3 linked regions of the Oryctolagus cuniculus genome follow. The protein of the gene in region 3 purifies or fractionates together with the protein of the main gene of each other region. This does not show direct contact. Links are inferred from orthologs where the notes say so. Each region holds a gene or a part of one and is shown on either strand. Other genes may lie near its edges.

Region 1 (3,747 bases), on a different chromosome or scaffold from region 3:
CATTTTCTTGGTCTGTTGGAAAACATAAGATAACAAATAACAGTACACTTGGAAAGTCATTGGGAAAATTAAAAGAGTTAATGCATGTGAAGTGCTATGAAAAGAGCCTGCAGCAGCAAGTGTTTACTTGTTAGTTACGGCTATTTTTACCAACATACTTCCCAAGGCTAACTTGTAGTTCCACTTATTTCCTGAGGGTTCTGACTTCCAAGTCTGTCACAGATCTTTGTCTTATCCTTTCATCTACATACGAGGCCAACTCCATCTCTATGTATTTCACCTCAAGGGAAAGAAACCAGCTACCTAAAATAGGATATTCCATCCCAAGCTAGATGCTCTTTACATATTATTTGTTAAAGTACAGCAGTCACACTGGTAACCCAAGAATCATCTTTTCTTACCACAAAGATTGAAATAAAGAAAAAGATCTGTTTTTCCTTCTTCTTCATAAAGGTAATGCTTGTTCAATATAGAAAACACGGAAAATCCAAAACGGATAAAGATTACTCAGGGTCGGTGCTGTGGAGTAGCCGGTAAAGCCGCTGCCTGCAGTGCCGGCATCCCATATGGACACTGGTTCATGTTCTGGCAGCTCCACTTCCGATCCAGCTCTCTGCTGTGGCCTGGGAGAGCAGTGGAAGATGGCCCAAGTCCTTGGGCCCTGCACCCCATGGGAGACCAGGAGAAGCACCTGGCTCCTGGCTTCGGATCAGTGCTGTGCGCCGGCCACGGCGGCCATTGGAGGGTGAACCAACGGCAAAAGAAGACCTTTCTCTCTGTCTCTCTCACTGTCCACTCTGCCTGTCAAAAAAAAAAAAAAAAAAAAAAAAAAAAGGAAAGAAAGAAAAAAGGATTAGTACTATCAAGAATTCGATGTGTCCTGTCCTTCGGCCACTGAAATGTAAGTTGCAATCCGCCAAAAAATAGTATTTGTGGCCTATCTTTTTAAACGCATACGTTTTAAAATAAGTGCTTCGTATTCACATGTGTCCCACACGATGTACTTTAGCCAATCACCTCCAGGATTGCGCCAATTTACAGGCTCAACCAAAATGGCCCGACATCTTTTTCCTTCCACAACATCACGTGATTTTAACTAAGGCCAAACACGGAACGCTCTTAGGAACCCACGAGGTAAAACGTTATCTCGCGGCGGTGAACACCGGGCTCTCCGCCGCAAGCAGGAGAATCGGCCTCAGATTCGGCCACCCCGGCTGCGCCCGCTCGGGTAGAGCCCTCGGCCGGCAGTTCTAGGCGGGAGCGCCGCACTCGATGGCGTGGCGCACAGCGATGACGCAGCACGCACGCACGCCGCCCCGCCCCCTCCGCCGGCGACTGCGCTGCGTCACGGGTTTTCAAGCGCTTCGCTGCTGGACCCTGCGACCGCAGCGGGGCCTAACGCCTGCCGGCCGCTCGCCGGGAGTCCGGTCGGCGGCGCGATGAGGCGCAGCAAGGCCGACGTGGAGCGGTATATCGCTTCGGTGCAGGGCTCCGCCCCGTCGCCGCGAGAGGTGAGTCGTGTCCGGAGAGGCCGGGCCCTGGCCCAGCGGCGGCGCCGGCGCCATGGCTCCCGGCGCCAACCGCTCCCTGGCGCGTGCGGCGGAGGTCCGGGGCGGCTCGCCCTGCCCTGTGGGCGGCGCGGCGCTCGGGAGCGCTCGGGGAGGGGCGTGGGGGCGCGGGGGACGTCGGCGTTGCCTGCTTCCTGGGGCGGGGCGGGGGGCCTTCGTCCTCGTCAGGCCTGTTCCGTGCGGCCCGCGCTGCCCGGGCCCCCGGCTGGCGCCTCGGGCGGGCTCTGCCGTCCCGCTGCGGCCGCCTCTGGGCAGGGCGGCTGTTGGAACGCGGCGGGCTGTCCCCGCTGTGACGCTGCCGCGGCCGGGCAGGCGCCCTGGACTGCGGCCCGAGCGCGGGTGACCACGCGCAGTCCTCTCAGCCCCGCACGCCGAGCAAGCTGCTGTTTTATTTGCGGCCGCTTCCCCTTTACAGACGGGGTGCTCTGAGCTCAGAGTTTGCAAGTCTTTTTCCCGACAGCCAGTTCTGAGCACGTTTCTCCCTCCTGGATTACTTGGAGGCGGCGGCGGGGAGTGGGGCAGGTTACCACCGGTGGGCGCGCGCCGGCTCGTTGGTCTGCCTGCAGTTGAGTAGTTGCGACCCTGCCCTGGCAGACGCAGGTGGAGAGCGCGTTGAGTATCCCATCTGTAAAGCGGGCTTGATGAGGTGCGTGGTCGGTGCCCAACACCTCCAACGACGCCTGGCACGCCGTCAGCCCTACATGGGCGTCAGCTGCATCTCCTGGCGCTGGTGGTGTTGATGTTGGAAGTGAAGGTCTAGACGGCTGCTTCTGCATGGACGTGCGGGAAACGAGAAGTCTGTGTTGGGTGCAGAAAAGTTGTAAAGTTTTTGTATGGTTTTTTCCATAACACGCATTTCCCACGAACTTTGAGTTCTCATATTAGTGGTTGATCATGATTACAGTGCAACATAACGTGCCTTGTATCGTAGCCTAGTTATCTTACTTTATGCTCCAATAACTAAATACTGAGTCCTGCAGACGGGGAAGGTACTTGTCCAGGGCCAAGTGGATGGCTCAGCAGGGTGTTGGCAGTGGGTCTGATTGGCTTTTTTAGGAATAGTGTAACGGCCTATAGTCTGTCTCTCTGGAGAAGACACATAGGTTCCTACGTGCAGATGCCATTTCAAATCGCTGGCATAGTTTTTGTTTAAAGATTTATTCATTTATTTGAAAGGCAGAGTTGGTGGGGGCTGGGGACTCGAAGAGAGAGAGCTTCAATCCGCTGCTTCGTTCCCCAAATGGCTGTAAGGGGCAGAGCTGGGCTGTTCTGAGCCAGCAGCCGGGGCTTCTTCCGGGTCTCCTGTGTGGGTTCAGGGTCCCAAGCACTTGGGCCGTCCTCCGCTGCTTTCCCAGGCCCATTAGCAGGGAGCTGGATTGGAAGTGGAGCAGGTGGGACTATACCAGCTGCTGCCCATATGGGATGCTGGCACTGCAGACAGTGGCTTTACCTGCTGTATCACAGACCTGCCCCTGCATAGTCTTAAGTATGAATGTGTTAATAGTGTTAGAACCTTGTTGAAGGTTTCTGTAACTCCTAAGACTGGTATACTTTTTTTTTTGTTCTTATTTTTTGAAGCAAGTTTAGCATCTCCATAAGATTTTTTTTTTAAGATTTATTTATTTATTTGAAAGAGTTACAGAAGGAGAGGCAGAGAGAGGTTCTCCCTCCGCTGGTTCACTCACCAATTGGCCACAATGGCTGGAGCTGTGCCGATCTGAACCAGAAGCCAGGAGCTTCTTCAGGGTCTCCCATGTGGGTGCAGGGGCCCAAGGACTTGGGCCATCTTCCATTGCTTACCCAGGCCACAGCCGAGAGCTGGATCAGAAGTGGAGCAGCCAGGACTCGAACCGGTGCCCATATGAGATGCCGGCACTGCAGGCAGCGGCTTTGGCCCCCCTCCATGAGATTCTTAGTGGGGACCTTGGCTCTCAAATGTTAAGAAGCTGCCGCCTGTAGTTGCAGCCAATTGGGAAGTGAACCAGCAGATGGAAGACCTCTCTCTCTGCTTCTCTTTCTCTCTGTGTAACTCTTTCAAAGAAATTAAAAAACAAAAAACAAACAAACAAAAAAAACACGGTTTGAGACAGAAGGTAGAGTATTTCTACTATATAATTTCTGTCAGATAAAGAGGATTAGTTATGGCCACCTCTCAAACTTGAAGAATATTGTTTTAATT
Region 2 (3,747 bases), on a different chromosome or scaffold from region 3:
ACTGCTTTCCCAGGTCATAGCAGAGAGCTGGATCAGAAGTGGAGTAGGCCGGCGCCGTGGCTCACTAGGCTAATCCTCCACCTAGCGGCGCCAGCACACCAGGTTCTAGTCCCGGTCCGGGTGCCGGATTCTGTCCCGGTTGCCCCTCTTCCAGGCCAGCTCTCTGCTATGGCCCGGGAGTGCAGTGGAGGATGGCCCAAGTGCTTGGGCCCTGCACCCCATGGGAGACCAGGAGAAGCACCTGGCTCCTGGCTTCGGATCAGCGCGGTGCGCCGGCCACAGCGCGCCGGCTGCGGCGGCCATTGGAGGGTGAACCAACGGCAAAAAAAGGAAGACCTTTATCTCTGCCTCTCTCACTGTGCACTCTGCCTGTCCAAAAAAAAAAAAAAAAAGTGGAGTAGTGAGGACTCCAACCACTGCCCATATAGGATGCACTGCAGCAGACAGCAGCTTTACCAGCTACATCACAGCACCTGCCTCCCAATTAGGGTCTTAACCACTACTACAAATGTCCACCCCTACTTACTTCTTAAATGAAAGCTTTGGCTTAGTTTTTAAATTTTTTAAAAAAGATTTATTTATTTGAAAGTCAGAGTTACATACAGAGGGGAGAGGCCAAAATGGCTGGAGCTGTGCCTATCCGAAGCCAGGAGATTCTTCTGGGTCTCCCACACGGGTGCAAGGGCCCAAGGACTTGGGCCATCTTCTGCTTTCTCAGGCCACAGCAGAGAACTGAATCAGAAGTGGAGCAGCCGGGACTTGAAGCGACGCCCATATCGGATGCCGGCGTTGCAGGCGGCGGCCCCACCCGCTACGCCACAGCTTAGTTCTAAGATGCTTTTTCGATGTGAGTTTAAGTCATGGGAACTACGCCTCCCAGGGTGTTTAATTCAAAGCAGACTCTGTGTCAGGCATCGGCGAGCAGGAAAAGGAGGGTATCTGGAGATGCAGGTTTGGGGTGCGCAGGAGGTGGAGGTCTCCAGGGGCCACTACACTGACAGCGTATCAGGCAGTCTCTCTACTCATAAGGATATTACACACGAATTCACTGAAGCACAACTTGAACGGAGTTGGAAAGGCGACAGGATGACGTAATCTAACCCGCGCCGCAAACGCAGCCTCCAGCGAGCGTAGGCGCAGGCGCAAGACCTTTGTGGGCGGGACTCAGGCCGTGGGGCTGGAACGCGGGGCCGCGGACTGGCTGGCCGCAAGACCGACAGTTGGCCGTGCCTCATTGGTATGCGCACAGCGCATGCGCGGGGCGGGAGCGAGCGAAATTCAAGCTCCCGCCGAGATACGTTGAACAACCCGGTCATGGAGCCGTCCCGTGGATTTGCGGAAGCCGAAGCCTTGAGCCCGGAGCAGGCTGCTCGTTACTTGAGGTATGTTTGGACTGCCAGGCGGATCTAGCTCGCAGGCCCTGTCTCGGAGTGCCGGTGGCGGGGTGGGGGTGGGGGGTGAGCGGAGTGGCTCTTGGACCCTCTTGGGGGCCCAAACTGCTAAGGCAGAGCCTTGTGATTAGTGCGGGCCTGAGAATCAGCTCTGGATATGGGTCAGACTTCTAAAGCTTGGGGAACCCTCAGGGCCCCCTCTTCTGGTCAACTAATCCTCCAGTCCGAGCCCTTTCAGAGCTAGAATCTTTCCAGACTACCAAGCCCCAGGCCTAGGAAAACACCGGCCTTGCCCCCAGATTGCTTATAATCTTGTAGTGGAAACTGAGCGGCAAATCAATAATTGCTATAATGTTCAGTAAGTGCTGTAAGACGTGTGAAGTGCGGAGCACAGTGTTGTAATAAAAGAGGTTACCGACTACAAGGGTTAGAGGAGGAAATATTTGAGCGGTATGTTGAAAAATGATTAAGTATTCACAAGATGGCTAAGGGGAGGAGCATCGTGATGTGGGGATGAGCATTTAAGAGTTTTTAAAATTGTGCTAAACTACACATAAACTTTACCATCTTCACGATTTCATTGGTATTACATTTAACACCATTGGTGTTACATTTACATTATTGTACAATCATTGCCACCACCCATCTCCAGAACTTTAATTTTGCAAAAGAGCAACTGTACCCATTAAATAACTCTACTTCCTCCTTCCCCAGCCCTTGACAACCACCATTCTTCTGTTTGTATGCATTTGACCATTTTATATTCATTATATAAATGGAACCATTGCAGGATTTGTCTCTGTGCTTGGCTTATTTCACTTAGCATAGAGTTCTTGTATCATGTAACAGGATTTCACTTTTAAGACTGAGTATAGGCTGGCGCCGCGGCTCACTAGGCTAATCCTCCGCCTTGCGGCGCCGGCACACCAGGTTCTAGTCCCGGTCCGGGCGCCGGATTCTGTCCCGGTTGCCCCTCTTCCAGGCCAGCCCTCTGCTGTGGCCAGGGAGTGCAGTGGAGGATGGCCCAGGTGCTTGGGCCCTGCACCCCATGGGAGACCAGGAAAAGCACCTGGCTCCTGGCTTCGGATCAGCACGGTGTGCGGCCATTGGAGGGTGAACCAACGGCAAAAGGAAGACCTTTCTCTCTGTGTCTCTCTCTCTCTCACTGTCCACTCTGCCTGTCAAAAAAAAAAAAATGAGTATATACCACACTTTGTTTGTGTGTCTGTTAAGCTTACTTGGGTTGCCTCTATCTCTTGGCAGTTGTGAATACTGCTGCTATGAACATGGGCACGTATGAGGAAACTCCAAAAAGTTCACAGAAAATAGAACCAAAAGATGAGTTTATTTTGCTGCAGAAGTTTTTGAAATCCACACATAGTTATTTCATAATAAACATGCTTTATGAACTTTTTGAATATCACCTTTTTTCAGTCATTAGGATACGTTGATATTATTTTTTAGAAAACTTTTATTTAATAAATATAAATTTCTAAAGTACAACTTTTGTATTATAGCAGTTTTTCCCCCCATAACCACCCTCCCACCCACAAACCATCCCATCTCCTACTCCCTCTCCCATCCCATTCTTCATTAAGATTCATTTTTAATTATCTTTATATACAGAAGATCAACTTAGTATATACTAAGTAAAGATTTCAACAGACTGCACCCACACAGACACACAAAGTATAAAGTACTGTTGGAGTACTAGTTATACTGTTAATTCGCATAGTACAACACATTAAGGACAGAGATCCCACATGGGGAGTAAGTGCACAGTGACTTCTGTTGTTGATTTAACAATTGACACTCTTATTTATGATGTCAGTAATCACCTGAGGCTCTTGTCATGAGCTGCCAAGGCTATGGAAGCCTCTTGAGTTCACAAACTCCAACTGAAGATCACCTTTATATGATTTCAAAATTTTTTTGCACTAAAATGAGCTTATCTTTTAATTCAGTTTTTCCACAAACTGTTTGAATTGCCCTTGTGAATAATTTTTTTGAGATTGTGCTTTCAGTTTTTTTGGATGTATATGGAGAAGTGGAATTCTTGGAACATATAGTAATTCTCTTTTACATTTTTATTTTTTTATTTTATTTTATTTTATTTTTTTTGACAGGCAGAGTGGACAGTGAGAGAGAGAGACAGAGAGAAAGGTCTTCCTTTTGCCGTTGGTTCACCCTCCAATGGCCGCCGCGGCCGGCGCGCTGCGGCCGGTGCACCGCGCTGATCCGATGGCAGGAACCAGGAGCCAGGTGCTTTTCCTGGTCTCCCATGGGGTGCAGGTCCCAAGCACCTGGGCCATCCTCCACTGCACTCCCTGGCCACAGCAGAGGGCTGGCCTGGAAG
Region 3 (3,647 bases):
GCAGGGCCCCAAGCTTGGTGCTCACCGTCCTTTTACAGATGCGGCCCCAAAGGCCCTACAAAGCGCAGGTTGCTTGTCGTAGCTGAGATGAGGGCAAAACGGTGTTTAAACAGGTGCAAGACCTCAAAGCCTGTGTCCTCAAGGCGCTGCAGTGGAGACGAGCAACTTTAGGTGTGCAAGGGCAAGTCTGGGGGAAAACAGCTTAATCTGGAGTTCCAAGAGGGAAGAAACGTGATCCTTCTCACTCGTCAGCTCCGTGAGGTCGATAAGGGGGAGCTTGGCGATGTTCTTAGTTGTGGAACCATGGCTTACTTGAGACCCGGAGCTGCCCTGTGGGCTGTGGTCCCGCTATGACAGCACTGCTGTCCCAGTCCACGGCCACGCCCGGCTCAGGGCTTTCTCTGTCTCTGCTCCAGCACATCAACCCTGTGGCTGCGTCCCTCATCCAGAAGATGCTGCAGACAGACCCCTCTGCCCGCCCGACCATTAACGAGCTGCTCAGTGACGAGTTCTTCACTTCCGGCTACATCCCTGCCCGGCTGCCCATCACTTGCCTCACCATTCCACCCAGGTTCTCAATCGCTCCCAGCAGCCTGGACCCCAGCAGCCGGAAGCCTCTCACCGTCCTTAATAAAGGTAAAGCAAGGGGAGGGTCAGACACAGAACCCCAGAGAGAACCGAGGCCCCTAATATCACTTCTTCATGCTTCATTGAAGGAGACAGGAACAGTTTCAAATACACACCCTGAGCAGGCTGTGGGAGCCTCCAGGTCCCCACCATCTGAGCAGTCACACCTGCCCTGCGGAGCCTTCCCTGTTTCTCTGATATATTCTTAAAGTTAACCTCAGACATCTTGCCATTGTACCCATAACTTCAGTATGCGGCTTCGATTTTCTTAGGAAAATCTAACGTCACGTGCCATTACCTAGGTTGTCATTTCCTCTGGGTCTCTTCTATAGGACAGAGTCAGGAAATACTTACTTTAAAGGGGGACATCTGGGTGTATGATAATGTTTGCGATTCCCTTTTTCGTAGCATTTTATTTTGCTATTATTTCAAGGTTAAAAAAAGGTGGAAGAACAAACAGGAAGCTCCTCTTCCGTCTACCCTGTTCCCTAGATCCACCAGTTGCCATTTTTTTTTTACATTTACTTTTATCTTCTTCCTCTACCTCCCACGTATACTGCACATGAGGGTACTTCAAAAAGTTAATGGGAAAAAAATGGAATTAGAAGTTTATTTTGGTGCGAAGTTGAACCTGTAGTTTTTCATAATACAGGTTTTTCCATTAACTTTTTGAAGACATCATTCATTTGCATTGCATGCACACAGAATTGTTTAAAAGTAAGTTGTGTATGTAAGTATTCCATTCTTACCCTTAATACTTCAGTGTGTATTTCCTAAAAACAAAGATTATTTTATATAACCACAGTGCATAACAGTTATCAAGCTCAAGAAATTTAACATGGATACAATATAGTTTTAGAGCAATCTTCTTTTTAAAATATAGACTTATTTATTTTATTTGAAAGAGTTACAGGAGGAGAGAGAGATCTTCCATCAGCTTGTTCACTCCCCAGATGGCTGCCATGGCCAGGGTTGGGCCAGGCCGAAGCCAGGAGCCAGGAGGTTCATCTGAGTCTCCCATGTGGGTACTGGGGCCTGAGGACTTAGGCCATCTTCCACTGCTTTCCCAGGTGCAATATCAGGGAGCTGGATCGGAAGTGGAGCAGCTGGGACTAGAACCAGCGCCCATATGGGATGTCGGCACTGCAGGCTGCAGCTTAACCCGCCACGCCACAGTGCTGGCTCCAAAGATATGTTGTTTTGTTTTTTTTTTTTAAAGTAGCTTGAAATACTTCCTCTAGGTGTATCTCAGTTTGATAGACAACTTAAGTTCATTTGTTTGTTAGTTTTCAATATTTAGGGATTACTTTCTAGAATTTTATTGTAGAATAACTTTAGGCTTATACAGAAATTCTAAAAGATAATAGCAATTGCAGAGAGAGTTCCCATATACCCTTCCCTTGGCTTCCCGCGCATCAGCGTGTTGTGTAACCACAGAGAAGGACTAAAACACAGGGCAGTATCTTTTCTTTTTCTTTTTTGAATTCTACTTTTCACTTTGTAAATTTTTTTTTAAGATTTATTTGTTTTACTTGAAAGTTAGAGTTATGCAGAGAGAGAGAAGGAGAGGCAGAGAGAGAGAGAGAGAGAGAGAGGTCTTCCATCTGCTGCTTCACTCTCCAGTTGGCCACAATGGCCGGAGCTGTACCGATGCAAAGCCAGGAGCTCCCCGCTTCCCGGGTCTCCCACGCGGGTGCAGGGGCCCAAGGGCTCAGGCCATCTTCCACCACCTTCCCAGGCTATAGCAGAGAGCTGGATAGGAGGTGGAGCAGGCGGCAGCTTCACTGCTCCCCCTCAGCGTCGGCCCCGGTAGTTTCACACTCCAGGCTGTCTTGGGCCCTCGTCAGGTTTTCCACTTCCGCTCTTTCTGTGGATTTGGAGTTCCTCGCGCTCACACTGAGGTTCTAGACTTTGGGGGAGTGCAGCAGAAGTGATGCGCCCTTCTCCGTGGACTCTGGTTTGTTTCGTGGGTTTTTTTTTTTTTTTTTGGACAGGCAGAGTTAGAGAGAAAGGTCTTCCTTCCATTGGTTCACCCCCCAAATGGCCACTACGGCCGGTGCGCTGCACCGATCCAAAGCCAGGAGCCAGGTGCTTCCTCCTGGTCTCCCATGCGGGTGCAGGGCCCAAGGACCTGGGCCATCCTCCACTGTACTCCCGGGCCACAGCAGAGAGCTGGACAGGAAGAGGAGCAACCAGGACAGAATCCAGCACCCCAGCCGGGACTAGAACCTGGGGTGCCAGCACCACAGGTGGAGGATTAGCCTAGTGAGCCGCGGCGCCGGCTCCATGTAGTCTATCAGGGGTACACATTGATTTTTTTTTTCTCTTGTTAGTGGTGGTGTTTATTAACTGTGATCACTTGGTTACCGTGGCATCTGATGGGTTTCTCTTATTTTTATCTGAGAGAGAGAAAGCTCTCATCCACTGGTTTGTTGCCCAAATGCCTGCAACAGCTGGGTCTGAGCTAAGGCTGGAGCCAGGAGCTCGGTCCAGGCCTCCCATGTCAGTGGCAGGGACCCAGTTACTTGAGCCATTGCCAGTGCCTCGGAGGGTCTGCATTAGCAGGAAGTGGTGAGTCAGGTGACACGCAGGTGTCCTAACCGATGTATGACTGCTAGGCTCAGTGTCCCGTGCCGAGTTTAGCGCCCACGGCGGGGCCTGCCTGCAGCAGTGCTCACTGTGTTCTCGTGCTCTTTCTTTTCCCTGCTCCTGCGTTTCACTAGTTGGCCCTCTAAGGAAGAGCTGGCCCTCTCCTTGTTTGCTTATTTATGTCAGTAATGAACTCAAGGATTGTTTATTTTGTTCTTTGGGCTATATTAATATAATACTGGGGTTTTTTAAGGATTACTTTTCAGTTTAATTTTGAACTTACAGCTTTTTTTAAAAACAAAAAACTTCATGGATGTTTTCAACTTTACCCAAAGGCAGAGAGAAGTGTGCCGTGACTCCCCACGTGTTCGTCATCCGTTGTCAGTAGTTACCAGCACAGCTACTAGATTTTGATCTGTTCCATACCTTCC

Evidence for each region.
Region 1: the proteins of PLK1 (region 3) and E3 SUMO-protein ligase RanBP2 purify together in Homo sapiens (affinity purification with mass spectrometry; 3 studies listed by BioGRID and IntAct, with this or other methods). This does not show direct contact. The link is inferred for Oryctolagus cuniculus from reciprocal best matches to the Homo sapiens genes PLK1 and RANBP2.
Region 2: the proteins of PLK1 (region 3) and ERCC6L purify together in Homo sapiens (affinity purification with mass spectrometry; 9 studies listed by BioGRID and IntAct, counting the BioPlex papers as one, with this or other methods). This does not show direct contact. The link is inferred for Oryctolagus cuniculus from reciprocal best matches to the Homo sapiens genes PLK1 and ERCC6L.

Annotation. Positions count from the first base shown.
Region 1 is NC_091433.1:100,113,256-100,117,002, reverse strand, and holds the start of E3 SUMO-protein ligase RanBP2, read left to right. Parts: upstream 1-1,301; 5' UTR 1,302-1,439; coding exon 1,440-1,511; intron 1,512-2,103; exon of another isoform or gene 2,104-2,214; intron 2,215-3,747. UniProt on the Homo sapiens protein: E3 SUMO-protein ligase which facilitates SUMO1 and SUMO2 conjugation by UBE2I. Involved in transport factor (Ran-GTP, karyopherin)-mediated protein import via the F-G repeat-containing domain which acts as a docking site for substrates.
Region 2 is NC_091453.1:52,294,960-52,298,706, reverse strand, and holds the start of ERCC6L (DNA excision repair protein ERCC-6-like), read left to right. Parts: upstream 1-1,222; 5' UTR 1,223-1,239; coding exon 1,240-1,382; intron 1,383-3,747. UniProt on the Homo sapiens protein: DNA helicase that acts as a tension sensor that associates with catenated DNA which is stretched under tension until it is resolved during anaphase. Functions as ATP-dependent DNA translocase. Can promote Holliday junction branch migration (in vitro).
Region 3 is NC_091450.1:15,668,661-15,672,307, reverse strand, and holds part of PLK1 (serine/threonine-protein kinase PLK1), read left to right. Parts: intron 1-416; coding exon 417-636; intron 637-3,647. UniProt on the Homo sapiens protein: Serine/threonine-protein kinase that performs several important functions throughout M phase of the cell cycle, including the regulation of centrosome maturation and spindle assembly, the removal of cohesins from chromosome arms, the inactivation of anaphase-promoting complex/cyclosome (APC/C) inhibitors, and the regulation of mitotic exit and cytokinesis.